2 linked regions of the Kluyveromyces lactis genome follow. Each later gene encodes a partner of the first gene's protein in a complex. Links are inferred from orthologs where the notes say so. Each region holds a gene or a part of one and is shown in the gene's direction. Other genes may lie near its edges.

The links.
Region 2: the proteins of CIN8 (region 1) and TUB2 are in contact, whole or in part, in a cryo-EM structure (PDB 6S8M), measured with the Schizosaccharomyces pombe proteins. The link is inferred for Kluyveromyces lactis from reciprocal best matches to the Schizosaccharomyces pombe genes cut7 and nda3. Residues at the interface, in NP_594527.1 of Schizosaccharomyces pombe: Glu217, Arg233, Val234, Phe235, Glu236, Arg345, Gln352, Arg359, Ala368, His369, His370, Pro372, Arg374, Glu375, Ser376, Arg380; in NP_596650.1 of Schizosaccharomyces pombe: Pro160, Asp161, His190, Gln191, Glu194, Asn195, Phe260, Pro261, Arg262, Met406, Glu410, Ser413, Asp417, Ser420, Glu421, Gln424.

Annotation. Positions count from the first base shown.
Region 1 is NC_006040.1:89,467-93,403, forward strand, and holds the start of CIN8 (kinesin motor protein CIN8), read left to right. Parts: upstream 1-1,643; coding exon 1,644-3,937. Other genes in the region: KLLA0_D01001g (uncharacterized protein), read left to right, coding at 1-134; rRNA-binding ribosome biosynthesis protein UTP23, read left to right, coding at 421-1,227. UniProt on the Schizosaccharomyces pombe protein: Could be a spindle pole body motor. On transition from G2 to M phase of the cell cycle, the spindle pole body duplicates; the daughter pole bodies seed microtubules which interdigitate to form a short spindle that elongates to span the nucleus at metaphase.
Region 2 is NC_006040.1:454,681-457,810, reverse strand, and holds TUB2 (beta-tubulin), read left to right. Parts: upstream 1-1,200; coding exon 1,201-2,550; downstream 2,551-3,130. UniProt on the Schizosaccharomyces pombe protein: Tubulin is the major constituent of microtubules, a cylinder consisting of laterally associated linear protofilaments composed of alpha- and beta-tubulin heterodimers.

The DNA of each region.
Region 1 (3,937 bases):
TTGATGTAAGGTTCCCATTGCTGATATCATATCGAAGGCACGTAAAAATCATGTTAATTGTAATATTTATACTTCAGGTCAACTGGTATATCGAGCTACTCATCATTTTGATTGCAAGAAGTGTATATCAATGACCTGTATATATATGTATGAACTTTTTAAATTTAAAGGATGTGCTGATATGCGTACGATATGCACTGGTCGCAGTCCTTTTCAATGCTTTACTTTGTTTCTTTTTCAATCTTTACATTACAGAAAATTTTTGATTTTCAAATATAAAGATACTATGCGATGAGGTTCGATGAGATGCGATGGTGTAGCTTCAACAGCTTCTGTTTAATATATCTATCCACACTACGACGGCTATAGTGACCAGGTTTATCACTCAATAGATCCATTGATACATTTTAAAAGAAAAAAATGCGTCAAAAGAGAGCCAAGTCGTATAGAAAGCAGATGTTGGTTTACAACCACACTTTCAAGTTTAGACAACCCTATCAAGTCTTGGTAGACGATCAACTAGTTCTGGAGACTTTCAACTCATCTTTTGATTTTGTGAAGGGATTGCAAAGGACTTTGCAAGCTGAGGTAAAGCCTATGATTACTCAATGTTGTATGCAGTCATTATACCAAACGAATAATCAAGGAGCCATCGATGCAGGAAAACAGTTTGAAAGACGTCGTTGCAACCATGATCCAAAGGAGCCAAAGAGCGTACTAGAATGTCTCACGAGTGTTGTGGATGTGAATGGGAAGAATAAGCACAGATATGTGGTAGCGACACAGGATGTTGAAATTAGAAGAAGGCTAAGGAAGATTCCTGGTGTTCCCTTGGTATACATGAACAGATCAGTGATGGTGATGGAGCCGTTAAGTAATGCCAGTGAGAAAGTGAGTCGAGAAGTGGAGGAACAGAAACTATACAAGGGTTTGAATGACCCCAAGTTTGCGGGTATTGCGCGTGACGAAAATGATGAGGCAGGTGCCGAGAATCAGGAGAATAAACCGAAAAAAAGAAAGGGGCCTAAGGAACCTAATCCACTAAGTATGAAGAAGAAGAAAACGACTGAGTCAACTGGTTCAATTTCTTCACTGTCTGCTTCGTCTAACAACATATCTACCCCTACCGAAGCGGGCGATGTTTCCGGCACTTCTAAGAACAAAAGAAGAAGAAAACATAAGAAATCTAACGATAAACCTAATGATTCGGCTGATTCAATACAATAAATTTTACACAGCCCAGAAACATAAACTCTTGTATCAACGAATGCTACGCAGCGCCTCTTCAAAAGTGCATATAGTATTCCTCTTGACTGGTTAACCGGCATATATAACAAAACTACAAAGATAGGTAAGGTGTTTAATAATCACGTGATATTTAAATCATTCGATACGGGTATTTCTTTGTTCTTTTTCAATGTTTACAATATCGAATAATGGTAAACAAGACAAATTGCATGTCAGGTAAACAAAGAATAGCATAGTTCTACCGTGACAATTGAAACCCAAGAATACCCGCCTAAAGTATTCTAAAACCGCTATAGCATTGCGTAGTAATTGTATTATTTTTTTGAATTTATTAGAACGTGTTGTTGGTATAATAATAGGATCACGTTTGCGAATCATTCTTGAAATAAACCATAATGTCTGCGACCAACGGGAGTCCTGAAGGCGATGAATTGAATATAACAGTAGCTGTTCGATGCCGTGGTCGTAACGAGAAAGAGATTAAAGCGAAAAGCTCTGTTGTTGTGAACTGTCCCGATGTTATTGGTGCTAATGAGGTTTCGATCAATACCTCCGGTGACATAGGAATCACTGCAAGAATGAATTCAAAAACGTATACAGTGGATAAAGTATTCGGACCAAGTGCTGATCAAAGTCTGGTATTTAAAGAAATTGCAGACCCAATGTTCCATGACTTCATCAAGGGATATAACTGTACGATGTTGGTTTACGGCATGACCTCAACAGGTAAGACATATACTATGACTGGTGATGAAAAATTGTACGATGGGGAATTGAGTGAAGCAGCAGGCATCATTCCAAGAGTCTTGTTCAAACTATTTGACACTTTAGAGGTGCAAGAAAGTGATTACATGGTAAAGTGCTCATTTATTGAGTTATACAATGAAGAATTGAAGGATCTTTTGGATGACGGCCAGGACTCCGGCGGTAATAACAGTAGAAAGTTAAGAATATACGATTCGCTTAACAGCAGTAACAATGTGACCAATGTGAATAGCCGGTCAAGTTCTAGATCGAATTCTCCTACCGTGAATTTAGAAGCTAAAAGAAGAATACGCGCAGGAGCATTATATAAACCGAAACCAAAGCTTCCAACCCAATCTCAATCTAATGGACAACAACAACAACAACAACAACAGCAGCAGCAGCAGCAGCAGCAGCAGCAGACTCAGGGCCAGGTTAATGAGCAAAGTTCTGCAATCTATATTCAGCATTTGCAAGAGTTTCACATAACTGACGCCAAGGAAGGCTTACGATTACTTCAAAAGGGCTTGAGTCATAGACAGGTCGCTTCTACGAAGATGAATGACGTTTCGAGTAGATCACATACCATTTTTACTCTAACGTTGTACAAAAATTTCAATGGCGAAACTTTCAGAGTTTCTAAGATCAACTTAGTAGATCTTGCAGGATCAGAAAATATCAGTCGATCGGGGGCACAAAATCAAAGGGCAAAAGAGGCAGGGTCCATTAATCAGAGTTTATTAACATTAGGCCGTGTAATAAATTCGTTGGCTGATAAAAATGCCCATATCCCATTTCGAGAATCAAAATTGACAAGACTACTACAGGATTCTCTAGGCGGCAATACAAAGACAGCTTTGATTGCTACTATATCACCGGCGAAAATAAATTCAGAGGAAACATCAAGTACATTGGAATACGCTACAAAGGCGAAAAATATCAAGAATAAACCTCAGTTGGGTAGTTTCATGATGAAAGATATACTTGTGAAAAATATTTCACATGAGCTGGCTAAATTAAAGTCAGATTTCCTTTCTACCAAATCGAAAGAGGGGATATATATGAGCCACCTTCATTACAATGAAGTTATGAATGATATAGAAAACTACAAGACAGAAATCCAAGAGTCTAGACGAGAAATCGAAAAGCTTTCTTCTCAGAATCAATTGTTACACAAAGACAAAAAATCTTCGCAAGATACAATCGAATCTCAAAGGTTGCAAATCCGGAACTTGCAATCAAGCATGGATTATCTATACGAGAAGATAGATTTAAAACATAAAAACGAGATTGAACTAACGAACATGATCATGAAATTGAAAGATGCTGTACGGAACATGCAAGGAGCTTTGAAAACACATGAGGATCATGAACAAAGGTTACAATCCGATATCCAGAAAATGTTATATGATAATATCTTAGAGTATCGGAGAAAAATTGAAACGAAATTGGACAACTTAAAACAGCAAGCTCTGGAACAGTCCTTCACTATTGATGATGATATCAATAATGTAAAAGATAGCCTAGAAACACTGTTGGAAACTGTTAAGAAGGATGCTATTATCATGTGTGAAAATCTGGCTCAGAAAGTAGTGGGAGATCAGCCAAAGTTCTTTAATTCGATGCTGTCTGAATTGAACGATATGTTTTCAAAAGTCGATGAACATACAGATCGGTTAAAGGAGGGCTTAAGTCAGATCACAGCCGAAAATAACAATTTGAAAGCTTATTTGGATACTCATTTTTTTAGGAATAATCATCAAGAAATTCTAAATGTACACGCAGATAAAACATATCACCAGTTGAATCTTTCATCGAAGCATTTAATGAGCAAAATCACAAATATAATCAGTGATCATGTCGAACAAAACAGAACATTATTGATGGATACATTGAAGACTGCCACCACCGAAGTCATTACTCAAGAGATGTCTCATTTCGAACC
Region 2 (3,130 bases), about 370 kb from region 1:
GAGACGAGATAATCAACTGCTATTGAGCCGCTAAGTTAAGAGTTCACAATCAACGATGACAAAAACACCTTGAAAAGCTAAATATGTAAACAGCTTTCGTCTTCAATACACAATCAGTTAATCAATTGATAGCCAAAAATATAAGAAAAAAAAAAAAAAAAGAGACCTGCTAACCTGATCCGATTCGATTCGGTTCGAAATAGAATACCGTAGCTTAATCAAAGTAACCTTCCGATTACTATATACATAAAAATGTAGCACTGGACAGATCAATTCCAACTAGTCAAACCCTCTTTCGCTTCTCCAACTAATAGGTTTCCTTCTCTTAACAAACTGTACTGGACGTTTTTTCCCTCTTTAAATTTCCTAATCCTGAAATCCGTTTCTCTTTAAATTTTCACATCGTCTTTAAATGTCAGCTAGAATCGAAAGTTAGGGAAAATTGCAGTATTCCAGTTTCCGTATGATTCTATCATATACGGAAAGTCAGCTGTGAAGAAAATGATCCGAGAAAATAGTCTGTTCAGTCTTTGGACTCATGGAACACTTCGACAACTATTCTAAATCTTAGGGGAATGTGTTGCTCACTTGCAACCTCAACTCTTGTCTTTAGATGAACTGACACTACGCAGGAATTCACACATCACAGTCACGTGCAAATCACGCGATGTAAGTTTCCGTTTCCCGTATTACCCGCACACTTAGCAACCCACAAAGGGAAATAGACGTGCTCGAAAATTGCCTAAAGAAGTGAAACAAAGATCAAAATACAAACAAAGATATGAGGAAAGAGAAGGAGGAAAAAAATAAACAAATAAAAACAAATAAATAAACAATTTAAAGTGGTTAAATAAGTGAACACAGACGTGATTGTGAACAGGCTTGCACGGGTTAGAGATAACTTTATAGATAACAGCTGTGAGAACTCGTCTATTTCGATTTGTTAGTTTGTTTGTTTAATATACTGTGGACAAGACTACTATTTTTACCCATATTATATTTCACTTTTTTCTTGTAAAGGACAGAGAGATCGCATAATTATTTTTTTTTCTTGAAAGAACAAGGATCAACAATTACTGGATTATAGATACCCCTCGATTGTATCAACACCAAGTCTTTCTACAATTTGCCTGTGCTGTGTTTCTTCAATTGTCATTTTTTGAGATCAGATCAATAACGCGCTCAGAGATATTCTAAAACATGAGAGAGATCATTCATTTGTCCACAGGTCAATGTGGTAACCAAATTGGTGCTGCGTTTTGGGAAACTATTTGTGGTGAACACGGTTTGGATTTTGAAGGTAACTATCACGGTATCGATGATATTCAAAAGGCTAGATTGAACGTTTACTTTAACGAAGCCTCTTCTGGTAAATGGGTTCCAAGATCCGTTAACATTGATTTGGAACCTGGTACCATTGATGCTGTACGTAACTCTAAGATTGGTACTTTGTTCAGACCAGATAACTACATTTTCGGTCAATCTTCAGCAGGTAACGTGTGGGCTAAAGGTCATTACACTGAGGGTGCTGAATTGGTGGATTCTGTCATGGACGTTGTCAGACGTGAAGCTGAAGGTTGTGACTCTTTGCAAGGTTTCCAAATCGCCCATTCCCTTGGTGGTGGTACCGGTTCTGGTATGGGTACTTTGTTGATCTCTAAGATCAGAGAAGAATTCCCTGACAGAATGATGGCTACTTTCTCCGTTGTCCCATCCCCAAAGACTTCAGATACCGTTGTAGAACCATACAATGCCACTCTATCTGTACACCAATTAGTCGAACACGCTGATGAAACTTTCTGTATCGATAATGAAGCCCTTTACGATATATGTCAAACTACTCTAAAATTACCACAACCAGATTATGCGAACTTGAACCATTTAGTTTCAAGTGTCATGTCTGGTGTCACTACATCCCTACGTTACCCAGGTCAATTGAACTCAGATCTAAGAAAATTGGCCGTGAATTTGGTGCCCTTCCCAAGATTACACTTCTTCATGGTTGGTTATGCTCCATTAACCTCGATTGGTGCCCAATCTTTCAGATCCCTATCTGTATCAGAATTGACCCAACAAATGTTCGATTCAAGAAATATGATGGCTGCATCTGATCCAAGAAACGGAAGGTACTTGACTGTTGCTGCATTCTTCCGTGGTAAAGTAAGCGTGAAAGAAGTTGAAGATGAAATGCATAAGGTTCAAACTAGAAACTCGTCGTACTTCGTAGAATGGATTCCAAACAACGTGCAAACAGCCGTCTGTTCTGTACCTCCAAAGGACTTAGACATGTCTGCTACTTTCATTGGTAACTCTACATCCATCCAAGAATTATTCAGAAGGGTCGGAGATCAATTTAGTGTTATGTTCAAGAAGAGAGCTTTCTTGCATTGGTATACTAATGAAGGTATGGAAGAAATTGAATTTTCTGAAGCTGAATCTAACATGAATGACTTAGTAAGTGAATACCAACAATATCAAGATGCTACTGTTGAAGATGACGAAGAATTGGAATTCGTTGACGAACAACCAATGGCTGAAAACTTCGAGTAAAGAATATAAAGGAAAACTTCAGCAGGAAAAAAAAAGGAATAAGGAACAAAGATCAGATGTGTACAGAAGATAAGTTTATCATTTTGAGAGCAGTACCACTGAAAGCAAATTATTTGGACACGAGATAAACAATAAACAATGTACTTCAGAAAGATATTTTCTTTCTTCTTATAGTTTTCCTTTCGTTACTTCTACTATTCTAATACTATTCCCCACACCACTAGTAGAAGCGGAAAATTTCGAAATATGATACCACCCTTACTATAATTTATATGCTTTTTGTTTCTCTGCTCAATGATATGTACTATCAATGTGACCCAAAACATTTCTTTAGTATTTGTTTCTATTTTTTTTTAATAATATCATATCTTACTACATAATTTTAGTCTTCACATTATAATACGTGATTCTTCATGATATATTTGACTCAGATGTCAACACAGTAGTATGTGAATGTTTCAATGACTTATCCTCTTCCCCAGGCCTGATCAATCATTTCACAGATCAACGAAACATACCAAGAACAAAAAGAAATAAATTTTTCACAATAGTACCCGAAGAAAAAAATTAATAAGGAACT